Linked DNA regions of Caenorhabditis elegans. The protein of the gene in region 2 interacts with the protein of the main gene of each other region in a biochemical or structural test. Each region holds a gene or a part of one and is shown on either strand. Other genes may lie near its edges. The genes, in order: pxl-1 and lim-8.

What was found.
Region 1: the proteins of lim-8 (region 2) and pxl-1 form a complex in vitro, tested with the Caenorhabditis elegans proteins (one study listed by BioGRID).

The regions. Positions count from the first base shown.
Region 1 is NC_003281.10:5,889,979-5,897,926, forward strand, and holds pxl-1 (Paxillin homolog 1), read right to left. Parts: upstream 6,034-7,948; 5' UTR 6,029-6,033; coding exon 5,983-6,028; intron 5,702-5,982; coding exon 5,572-5,701; intron 5,497-5,571; coding exon 5,408-5,496; intron 5,362-5,407; coding exon 5,268-5,361; intron 4,309-5,267; exon of another isoform or gene 4,251-4,308; coding exon of another isoform or gene 4,153-4,250; coding exon 4,101-4,152; intron 2,447-4,100; coding exon 2,300-2,446; intron 2,041-2,299; coding exon 1,867-2,040; intron 1,625-1,866; coding exon 1,529-1,624; intron 1,481-1,528; coding exon 1,346-1,480; intron 700-1,345; coding exon 421-699; 3' UTR 295-420; downstream 1-294. UniProt on the Caenorhabditis elegans protein: Required for myofilament organization of the pharyngeal sarcomeres and for pharyngeal muscle contractions and hence for pharyngeal pumping. Together with lin-8, might be required for myofilament organization in the body wall muscles.
Region 2 is NC_003281.10:6,800,896-6,805,863, reverse strand, and holds the start of lim-8 (PDZ domain-containing protein), read right to left. Parts: upstream 3,077-4,968; 5' UTR 3,062-3,076; coding exon 3,038-3,061; intron 2,106-3,037; coding exon 2,053-2,105; intron 636-2,052; exon of another isoform or gene 431-635; intron 297-430; exon of another isoform or gene 224-296; intron 203-223; exon of another isoform or gene 173-202; coding exon 1-172.

The DNA.
Region 1 (7,948 bases), 910 kb from region 2:
TTGATATGGCGGTGGGGAGGAAATTTTGATTTTGAAATGCGTAGAAATTTTAATAAAAATTTTGGTTTTTTTTTGAAAATTGATTTACTTTTTTTTTTCATATTTTATACAATGGACGTGTGGTAAGGTGGAAGGTTTTTGAATTGAGTAGACTGGAATTTAAGTTAAGGTATAGGTTTAGGCTTAGGCTTAATCCTGTATGTCAAGCTGAAGTCTATGGATTTAGGCTAGCTGACACTTAAATTTTTGAAAAGTATGGCATTAGAGAACTAGAAAATCTCAAAGAGAAAAATATTATATTCGATTTCATCCAAGCCTAATATTCTAAACTATTACTGAATTATCTTTTCCAGTTACCACCTTCAAAAAACTTGAAAAACCACAAAAAGACAGGAGAGACAAAAAAGAGAAAAAAAAAGATTAGGCAGGAGTCAATGCATACGTATTATTATAACACTTATGACAGAATGGCCGACGATCAACTTCTTTGAATGTTCCTTTTGTCAGTTGATGATTACAATATGAGCATCTAAAATGTTCCGGATGGAACTTTCTTCCCATTGCAGCTACACATCTTCCATTAATGGCTCCACGACATTGAGAACAGATTGAACCACGAGATTCATGATAATGTCGCTCACAGAGTGGAGCACCGTTGTGCTCAAAGAAACTTGCACCATTGAAAGAAACTCCGCAATGCTGTAAAGAACAATCCACATATATTTAGGGAAGTTTACAGATGACACACCAAAATAAAAATAATATTTTATTCCAAAAATAAAACTATTGACTACAGCTAAAGGAATAATTCTAAAATATTTCATGCTTAATTATGTCTATATCGACTAGGTAAGGAAAGATACAATAAACCGAAAAACCGAAACATCTTTTTTAATGGTATTATAAAATATATTAGGGGTCAAGGTTTTTATTAATATGAAGTTTTGGAAGGTTCAATCAAACTTGTAAATTTGCACATTTTATAGGTCCCATGTGAACTCAGTCAGTTGGCTCAAAATTAAAAATATATAAACCTAACACTTATAGTTAGTTTTATATAGTTTTATTTTTTTAACTTCAAATGTTACTATTAAAAAAACCACAAAACTCTATCACTGCAGCATACTATCAACGAAAAGCCTCTCATTATAATATTTTCTGGCACTTCACACAAGCCAATTTGCTCCACTCATTAAAAATAAAAAGGGGTAAGAAAAAAAAAACGAAACGAATAGACGAATAGAGAGACACCGACAAGAAACATACCGCACAATCGGTTTTCGATGGTTTCTTTAATTTTTGAATTGACTTCCTTGTTTAACAAATGATAATGAACTAAAAATACCTGACAGACAAAACAATCCGGATGCCAATGAGTTCCCAAAGCGGTGATAAAGTTTGAGGTGATTGGTTGAGAGCAGCCATTGCATTTTGGGGCGAATAGACGGAAGAAGTCACGTTTGCAATAGGTTTGTCCATTCTGAAAGTGTAAACTGAAAGGCTTTTCAAACGGATTTTTTTAACCAACCTTCTCATGGAATCCATCCTCTCCGAATGGTTGATTGCATTCTGCACACGTGAAGCATTCAATGTGGAAGTTCTTGTTCATTACACTCACACATCTCTGGAAACTTAAATTTTGTTTCTCTAATCATTTTTATTTCATGAAAATATATTCAAGATGATTAACAAAAAAAAACACTATTAAACTTGTGTCCACATTAATTTTTGCAAAACTCCACTAATCGGCGTTTTTCGTTGTACATTCAAAACTGGAAATACTACAAATCATGCACAATATTCTGTATTCACTATTATCCAATTGTACCAAATATTTATGACTAAGAATTTTGTAACGTCACTTACATCAGTGATGGCTCGATGACATCCTTGGCACTTTGGACTGAATTGATTGTGATAATCTTCTTCACAAAAAGCACGTCCATTTCTCTCAAAGAATGGGCGTTGTCCAAGTTCGGCACCGCATTCACAGCAAGTGTAATGCTCCGGATGCCACATTTTGCCAAGAGCAATGACGACCTGAAAAATGGTTTTATTTTTCAAATTTGATTTTCTGGACATTCCAAAGTTGAAATTTAATAATTCTTTTTAAAACTATTCTGAGGAAATTTCTAGAGTCTCGTAGTTTAACTAAATACCGCGAGAACATTATTTTGAACTGTCCTACGTCACAGTTAATCAGAATTAAATTTCAGGATGCCAAACAGTAATACACAGCGAAATTAATAAATCCTAGAACTTTTCACATATTCTAGAATTGTTTTATTAAAACGCTCACCTGTCCAATAATCGGTTTTCCACAGGCAGCACAATCTCCTTTTGGAATTGTATTGACTCCATGTTTTGAGCTCAATTCTCCATTCATTGTTCCAATCATTGAATCCGAATGCAGTGGGTCTCTTGATGGAGACCGACCGTTCGATCTCTATAAGTTCCACGTTTTTATGTATATGGGCAACGATTGGAAATGTGTGTTTTCATTCGTTGCGAGACCATTATGACAAATTTATGTTTGTGTGTGTATGTTTTGTTGGAATTGGCATATTTACTTATAGTTAATGGAAAAAGGTTTTTGTCGGAAAGTAAGCTGAAAAACTAATAAAATGAAAAATGACTGAACATTGGTAAGTGGCAACAGAAAAGGTGCAATATGCCAAAAAAACGGGGTAATTTTTATTTTCTAATTTACGTAATGATCTTTTAGACCACACAAAAGTATACAAATCCATTTCTAGAATGCTTTTGGAAACTTTCTGTGAAAAATTAGTAAAATTGCCGCGGCGTATTTTTAGCGAGGTCATTCTGTTTTTGATAGCGGGGTATGGAAGTATTTTCCCTATGTTTTTATTTATCCTCTGTAAACCCGAACTTTGTAATTTCGAAATTTAGATCCCCTTCCCAAATAGTCATCAAAATACACTAAAAATCGTTCCATATGACCTCATTCCAAAAGGTTTCTCATCAAAAACCAAGGAAAAGCTAACAATATCTCCCTTTCTCTATTCCCATCGTTTCACCTTCATTTACACCCCCGCTTCAACCTCTAGAAGCCCCCCGTACTGTTTGCTCGTGGAGCTCGTCTGTGTCTCTTCTTCTCACATACTCTCTAGCACGTGTTTCCACGTAAAAGAAAGAGCCACGCGGCAATAAAAGAAGGTTTTACAAACAGAAATTTCGCTCCACTTTTCGTTTTTTTTTTGTTGCTTCCTCTCCTTTTACTATGTTGTAAAATATGAAACTGAAAAGTTTTTGAAAAATGTGACGAAAACGAGGGAGACAAATAGTTGCTCTCAGAACATGAAAATAAGGGAAAAGAAGAAGCAGAGGAAGTAGTGGAGCATCTGAATTTTATGGGGATACGCTTGCATTTGGGATTAATGGAATCCTACAAAACAAGCAAGATGAGCAATGTATTCAAATTAAATGAGGAGACTATGTTGTGAAATGTTGCCAAATCTTTTATGATCTTTCAAATTGGAGCAATGACGTTTAAGTGAAAGAATTGTGGATTTTGATAAACCATACTAGTAATAGTCCATCATGACCTAATACCATATTTAAACACTCTACATTTTTTCTTGAGATTTTTGAAAGTTTTGTCAAGAAATGGTCAACTTAGAACAATTGAACAAAAATTAAATAATATTCTGGTGGATTTCTTGAATTACCAGTGGCAAAACCCGAGTAATTGCCAATTTTTGACAGTAAATTGAATATTTCAAAAAACATTTTGAAATTATTTTTATTTCAAAAAGTCCCAAAAATTTCAAGAAACCTTTATTTTAAAAGAATGACCGAATTTTCTACTTTGTAGTCATGTGACCAAAATAGGAAAAACTACAAATTCATAAAGTTTGCGTCTAAGTTGAATACATATCGTTCAGGATCAGTAAATTAGGTTTTAAAATTTGTGAACACAGAAATATCCGGAATTAGATTTGTAGAGATTGGGAAAGTTTAATGAAGATTCTGGGATTTTGAAAATTCTAATTTAAGGACATTTTTAATTAAGGTCTCCCAACGAAAACATTTCAGTTTCCCTTCCCAGAAGCTCCCCCCGAAAAGAAATAAAAACTTACGACATCAGAGTAGGATTGTGCCTGACTTGGTGGTCCGAGACTCTTGCGTGAGCTATAAACCGAATGATGTTGTTGGTGGTTTGAATGACTATTTTGTGCATAATTTGGACCATTGAAATGGTCAAGCCGTTGTTGCAACTCGCGCATCATTCCGCCAAGTGATAGGTAAAAGTGTTGTGTGCGTGGAAAAGAAAAAGGTGTGCTGCTCCTTTTCTCTATATTTTTCTTTCTCACTTGATAGAGAGTAGGTACTCTCCCGCCCTACAGCATTTTACCCCTGTTGAGCTCAAGAGATACTGAGCAAGACGAAGAAACTCAGTGAAAAATAAAATAACCGGCTCCTCCTCTGTACCGGGGAAGAAGAGATGATTTGCGACACGGGATGAGACGAGTAGAAGTAATATGCGTGTATGTTATTAGTCTTTTTTCTCGTTCTTCCCTTCACATTTGAGTTTTTGTTTGTTCCCGGGATTTTAGACGCAGAAACACGGGAAATGACCTAAGAGCCGGCGGGAAAATGGAACACGGAGTTGGCATTTTGATAAACGGGCTTGACCATTTCAAATCGGAATTTTCTAGTTTTATATTTTCAACATTTTTATTTTCGGAGCTATTTTTGGAACTTAAAGGCCATTTTTCTTTTGTTGTCTGGAAAGCTTTTAGAAATTAAAAAAATATATATCTGAACCAATTTTCGTGATATACATAAGTTTTCAATTTTTTTGAAGATGCACAAAAAATGTTGATATAAAAATTAACAATTTTCAACAAATCTTATAAAAATGTCGAGGCCTTAAGTGAACTTTCTAGGCTACAAAAAATTATGAATTTTCGAATTAAAATGCCTAATAGAATTCTAAATTCTGAATTGTTGGTCTAACATTTTTTGTGTGTTCTAGGCCATTGATTTATATTTTCGCATTCTCAGATGTAAGATGTTAATGTTTTACAGATTTTTTTGAAAGTGCCAATCAAAATTTTTTAAATTTTTCCTTTTAAGAATCCTAATCGCAAGATTCTTGAAATTATTAAATCAGAAGATTTGAAATTAATATTTAAATTGACTCATAGTATAGCTTTTTAAAAGGTTTTTCTAGGCCACGAATTTCAAAATATGACTCCGAAGATAAAAATGTTTTCAAAAAAACAAAAAACGTTTTCTCCTACCTGCTTGCTCGAATTGGTGGTTCTTCGACTTGAGACAATAGACTTTGGACACTTGGACGTGAATAGACTGGTGGGTTAAGTCTTGATTCATTTTCTACAGATACAATTACATATTAATGTTCTTTACATGAAAAACAAACCATAAATCCTTTCCTGACTTTTTGAATAATCTTTTCCTTCTGACGAACGACGTTTGTAGGGTGAAGTGGTTATATTTCCATTGCTCACACTGACACAAATATTAGATGTTTAGTTTATGTTAAAACATGTATGGAAAGGTTTGTAACATTAAAAAAAAACTAACCTCTGTGTGTTAAGATTTCCCTGAAGATCATAGGATTGCTCAAAATCATCACGACTCTGTGAGCGGCGATCACTTATATGAGCACGGCGGAGCACTTCTGTGGTGTGTTGAAGATCCGATAGAAGGGCTTCTGAAATTAAAATAATATATTTATTTATTTTTTGTTTCAATTACAGAATTTGAACTCTTCAATGTTTCAAATTGAAAAGTGAAAACCCACTTTTTAAGAATTTTATTATTGAAAACTATCAAGTATGAAAATCATATAAATTTTCAAAATTATGATAATTCCATCCAAATATTAATAAGTTTCCCATTAATCAAAAAACTCATAATTTCCAAACTAGTACTACGACTACTACTGGGAGCATTTCTCCACCGGAAAGCCTCCATTAGAAAGTTCTTGGGTACCTAAAGCTGGTTTAACCGCATCCGCAAAACGATCGTCGCTTGGCATTCTTACTGAAATATTCAAAAAATGTTCAGGAGAAAATCAAGAAAAAAACAATTAAAAGGCGGACGAAAGAGCTTTATTAGAAGTTATAATGTAATTGGATTTTATAAAAAGTCCAAAATTCAGTTATTTCAGAACCTCAGAATGCAACCCGACGGCTTAGTCAAGTTTCGGAAAATCAACAAATTATCAATTGATCGAATTTACAACAAGATGTTCAAAATAGTAAAAAACGGTACCAATGAGGGTGTATAAAAGAAGGAAAAGTGCAATAATAGATGAGTGTGTATGCATGTGTATGGGGACCACTAAAAATGTGAGAGAATGTGTCAAAATATGTGTGAGTGAGTGGAAAAAAGTGGGAGGAAGAAGACAAAAAACGATGAAGAAGCCGACAAAAAAAAAGAAAAAAGGAAGAAAGAAAGAGGAGGAGAAGGAAAAAAGATTTATGGAGATGACATAAAAGAAGTACAAAACATTGAAAAAAGAATAGCATCTGGATAACAAAAATACAAATTTTTATTTATAAAAATTACAGTTTGATGAGGAATCCTCAGAAAATAATCCAGTAGCCTAAGTTTTTAAAATATTGAAAAGGATGTCTAATAGTAAGTAGACACTTCACCTCTCAAATTTTTAAAGTAGAAGTGTCTACTTTTCATTAAAAAAATTTAAATTAGAAGTGTCTATTTTCCCATAAAAAATTTTTTAATGTAGATATGTCTACTTTCCATATATTTTAATTTGATTAATTTGCTTCTCAGAATAGGAATGATCATTTTGATATTAGTTAAAGCTTGATCAATAGGAAAACTTAGTTTAATTGTGAAAAAGTGTTAAGATAATTTTGGTTCAAATTTAAAATTGTGAAAAAAAAACTTTTTTGTAGAATTCCAAAATTAAGAAGGTGAGAACTAGCCACTTTTTGACTACACTATTTTAAAAAAACATTTGAACCGTTTTCTATGATATTAGGACATTTTAGCAACATATAGGAATGGTTTTATGCAATTCAGTTCGTTAAGAGTTTTTTCAATTACACATATTCCTAGTACATGTTTTTGCTAATTGAATTGAAATTTAATTAGAAAATAATCCAGGTTGCTGGAAATAATTGGTACTTGGAAAAGGGATCGATAACGAGGAAATATTTAAAAAAACCTTGAAAGTCAAATCAGTAATCCAATCTAGTAATCCAATCTCTCTTTTTCGAAAAAAAAAATTTTTGGAAAATCTAAATAAATTATTAGCAACATGACCGCCAAAGAAAGCGATGACCGAGGTATCCCTTTTCTCGGCCAAGTAGCAGAAGTCTCCCTATGACAAGAGATACATTGAAATCACATATTCCGTTTGAATAGATCACATTTTAAACGGTGTTGTGAAACCGGATCGAGTACTAAAGGAACATGCCAATCATGCATGAAAAATGAGAAATGTCAAAACTTTTATGAATTTCTACGGTATATTGTGAAAGTTGTTTGGAAGTTCTTGAAACTTCTTGAAACTATTATTTTACCAGAATATTATTTGATTTAAGGAAAAACTAGAAAATGGAACATGGGAATTCTTCATGATCTTGGCCCTTAATCTTTAGGAGTTTCTTCAAAAAAGAGAAGAGATAGACGATAAAAGGAAATAGTGTGAAAGTTAAAGAGATACAGAGACAGACACATAAACGACACATAGAAAAGAGCGGGAAGAAATGGAGGCAAAGTTTTTGTTTTTGAATCAAGAATGAGCGGGAGGAAGAGATTGAGATGTACACAGGCTTGAGGGAATTCGAATTGAATTCGATTGAAATGTAACTAAACGGCTGCCGTAAGATAGTAAGTACGACGGTTGATCTAAAAATGATACAGTTTCTAAAAATGTGGCTCTATACAATTGATGAAATTTATTAATGGTACTGGCTCTAAAGAC
Region 2 (4,968 bases):
CGTCTGTTTCTGTCCTTGTAACATTTTTTCTCGTTGAGCTTTCTGTTGTTGAGCCATTTGTAGTGTGCTTTTCGCAGATTCAGCCATTTCGTCGCCGCCTTTGTTGACGGCGACGAATTGGAAAGGATCCGAGGATTTCTGTCCCGGTCCTCGTAGCATTTTTGCTCCGGGTCTGCAAATTTCATTTACTAAGAAAATATAATTTTATGAAGCCAAAAAGTTTCGCTCCCGGGTGGGCTCGAACCACCAACCTTTCGGTTAACAGCCGAACGCGCTGCCTATTGCGCCACGGAAGCACGGAAAGTTCAGGTCAAAGAGGCCTATATTCGCTGTAGTTAGAATAGAGACGCAGATAGGGTATGTGCAATAGTTAATACACTGATCGAGTTTACAATGAGAGAGACCGCTATTAACTTCAAACCTAAACGCTAGATTATTTTTTAGAAATCGAATAAATTTTAAGAAAAATGAAAGGAAAAGCTTCTGACATGGGACATCTGATGTGAAGGCGTCAGAAGTCAAAACACAGAAAAAAGCGAAAAACAAGTGTCTCTTTTGGTAATTGATGTTTCTTTCCAGCTTTCGCGTCCCTTTTGCCTTACCAATAGCTAATTTCAGAGACCAGAAACCTTTTGCGGTGAAGAAAATCTGGGTTTCAAGAGGAATATAAAGTTATCAGAGAGAATAGAATTCGGGATAACTGTGAGCTTATTAAAAAAAAACATAGTACATTTTGGAAAACTATCGTAAAGTTCAATAGGTAATTCAGTCTTAAAAATAGTTTCGCGATCTATAGATAGCGTCTCAGGGAGAAGTGTTCAGAGAGTTGAGAGCAGCTACTACCGGAACCCGGTAAAACTTATTTTAAGACACATGGTAATTTTCGCAGTATCCGATATCTACTGGGTTATGTTATTTTTCATCGAAAACACAGTTAAATTAATCTAGTAGAGGAACCTGGGAACTGTTGGGTTGCTGTGAAACATCATTTCCACATTGAGACTGAAATATACAGAAAAAGTAGAAACTTGTAGAAACTTGCTCAAAGAGTTCATAAGACTAAAAAAGGGTTGATCAACAAAAAGAAAAACCGTAACAGTGCCCTTGACTCAAAAATCATGCCGAATATCTTCTCTCACTCTCATATATCCGGTCATTTATTGGCGGCTCACATGCTCTCATTCATTTGTTTATTTTCTCTCCATTGGCGAAACGAGACACAGTTAGAGATGGTCACTACGTTCTTTTTCCGAGACATAAGAAAATAATGAAGAGACTGAGAATATGCTACAATATCAAGAGAGTGCGTAATCGCCAATTTTCGCGCTTGCATGGTAAGTACAGAGAGCTTTGAGTACCCTCCTTTTTTGCTCCGACGCTTGGTTTTTTGGAAAGGCTAACGGTTTACACGTACCGGCAAACGCTCAAAGACAAAAGGAATGAAAAATGAACAGTCTAACTAGAACATTTTCTAGTGAATATATAAGAAAAGATTTTTTGTAAAACTGCAAAGGAAGTCCACGCCCAAATGAACTGGTCTAGAATATATGACTATTGTTTTTGTTTTAATAAAAATAAAATCCGTTTCAAAGAATCTTGATACTGTTTTTTCGAATAAAAACTTAAATTATAAATGTCTGAACATGATCCAAAATATATTTTTAACGTTTCAATGTAGTAGGCCCAGCCCAGCCACGGAGAAATGTCCTATTTTGCCTATATGCGTTGTTACTGCAAAGCTTTTGTTGAATTTCTTAATTGAAATGGGTAGTTAACGCTACAATACAGAAATTTTGAGGAATATGCTATGGTTAATGAAAAAGAATCTCAAAGAGAATGAGAAAAAAACAGACTAAGAAACCTGATTTTCAGAATATTAAAACCTATTTGCATACTTTGCCGCTTTCTTATATTACATCTACCCTTAGAACTTTTATAATGACATTGAAAATTCAAATAATTCACCTAATTAATCTTGTCACTCATAATTAAATGAACGATTTACATGATCATAAATGACAAAAAAATTATTGTGGTGAAAGTAAAACTCACCCAAATTCGTCTTCAGGATAATCAGATCCAAGATTTGGTGGATACTTGGCCACCTGAAAAATGTATTGAAATTATTCTGAATTTATGAAAAATAAATACAAAAAGTAAGTAGAAACGACAAGGTTATTGTGGCAGACATAAGTTAGGTAAACACGATAAAGTACATAATGAAGTTAATCACTTAAAATATCATTTTCGAGTATTAGAGGTGAAAGTGGGCGATTAATAACGTATTTTTTACAACTTAAAAGATAAAACTTTAAAACATGTTTTACGAGTATTATGTTATCATCATCTTGATTAAAAAATGATGATAAACTTTAAAATAACTAAATGCTTAACTGAAAAAGGAACGTAGTTTGATTATAAACGCAACTTTTGATTCAAAAATTTCAACTTTTTTATTCATTTCTCTTCCATCCTACTCATTTCAGAAATGAATCATATCACAGAAAAGGAACACTTTAACATATCATTTATGATAAAAATCGATCATAATACCAATCAAACACAAAAAAGTCTCCTGTTATCAGTTAGTTTTTGTGTGAAGACTGTGTGTTAAAAGGGGTGAGTATGTGAGCCCTCTTGAAATGTAAATATTAATATGCCCAACATTCTTGGGCATTTTTGAGGTTTTGGTTTGCGTGCAAGAAAACTAGGATGATATGGGACATTGGACAGTTTTGATTCTTCCTTTTTATAATTTCTAAATTTTTATTTTTTTTCAGTGTGCCAAATAAAATATGTTAATTTCCAAAATAATTTTCCAATAACCCCTTCTCAATCTAACAGTGAGTTTTAATTAACTTTTCTGTACTAAAAAATGTTTTCAGAGCTTTAACTGTTTTTTACAAACTTTTGCCCAGCAAAAATGCAAAGCTAGAATAACTAGAAAACACAGGAATACGTTGAACTATTTTGAAAATGAATTAGCCACAAAATGTTAATAAATATACAATGAAAAATTCAAACACTTTGAAAGTACCTTCACTGCGTAATCATTCTCCATCATCTTTACGACTTTCTGCAAATAATTGAAATGAAACAATAAAAAAGTCAAGTTACAAGAAGAACATCAAAAAAAGTAATCAATGTTTTTTCCAGAGAATCAAAATAGATTATCTGAAATTCAAATAGAACACAAACACGAGTAACAAAAATAGAAAAAGACCTCTGAGCAAACAGAAATAGCGTTTAACTTGTGGGAAATTTGATGACAGTTTACATTTCTTCAGAGAGGAAGAAAAATAGAAATCGACCACACATTTACAGAAAATTGACACCAAGACTTGAGATTTTGAGAAGAACGGAACCTATTACAATGGTCCATAACTTTGTTATCCAAATGTTCAATTAATAAAAAAGGTACCGAGAATTAAAACAAACTGTAAAAAAGTATGTTCAAAAGCGGTAAAGAAATCCACATCCAAAAATTCTCAAATTAATGTCACTACGGAAAGCATAAATTAAGGAAAATAAAATTCAATAAAATCGGTTTTGAAAATTTCGGGAGAAACCAGAATTGAAATGAATTTGACACGATAATTTGATAATCAGAGAACGAGAGTGAATCTGAAGAGAAAGTGGTCAGATCCTTTCGGAACAATATTCAAATTTATTTCTTCTTATTTCTGCGTATCCACAAGAAAAGCATAAAATTAATGTCTGCGTCTCTTCGTCTCGTACGCTCTATCATAAAATATACACAAAAGTCGGTAATATTGAAGAGATGAAAAGGAATGTCGGTCAAAAGATATTATGGATCAGTTATCAGATGGTGGTGATTTGGAGATAGTCTAAAAGCGGCAGAAGCCAGGGAAATTGAAACTTGGACAGGGAAATAAGGGCAAAGAATATAAATCTGAAGTTCGGAGAAGCTTTTAAAGGGAAATAGAAGACATTGAGAATAAAAAAAACCGAATATAATTATATAACAACAGTATCACAGCGCCATAAGAAGCCATGAATTCTGAAATAATGAAAAACAAGCAGTTCATCTCCAAAAATAGTTGATTCTCATAATATTTCCATCTTAAAAATTCCTCTCTAAAAAGAAACAACATGGTAGAATGTAGGGTAGACCCATTAATGGATTACATTTCTGCAGTGGCCCAATAAATTCATGTTTTTAAATTATTTTAATATGGTAGATTGACTTCAATTTGGTAGGCAAGGATGGACATTTGTGGAATGAAAACAAAGTTTTTTAGTTTTAAGAGAAGTATACTGAAACGTGTCTAGATCTGAACTTGTTAAAATAGCGCCTGATTTGATTGATGTTTTTGAAGTATTGAACCCAACGAACAATTGTTTTATGATTAGAACTCCTGGAACATATTCTCCAATGACCTATCAGAACGTACGATTACTGTAGGGAATAGCTTTTTTTTTCACTTTGACATGTAGATATGTAAATGAGAAAAATGAACGCAAAAGAATAGGAAAAAGCCAAAAATGCAGTAATATTACACGAAGGATCAGAAGAAGAAACAAGGTGGCGGAACGGTGTCGTCGTCAGACGTCTAATCCTTCATTCTTTTTCAACTGTGGTTTCTTCATAACGACACGCATATGTCTTCGTTCCGACAACTAGGTATCCATCCTTCTTACTCTTTTCCTTTTTCTTTTTCTTCTCCTCAAGAAAACACATTATGCAAATGGCGACCAGGTCGGTGTTGATTGCCCGAAACAGGTGTCCTGCTGTGTCCTGGGAGAAGGTGAAGAAGACACTCCTGCATCCACAAGAATCCATAATACAGTCATTTGCATTGGCGGAATAACGATCTGCCAATTATTTCTGCGCCACGGAAATCTCCCGGACCATGGTCAAATATTGAGGAACAGCTGTTTCACGGCATTTAGACATCTAATGGAAGACATCCGTCATCGAGAGTCATATGTGCCTTAGGCAATTTT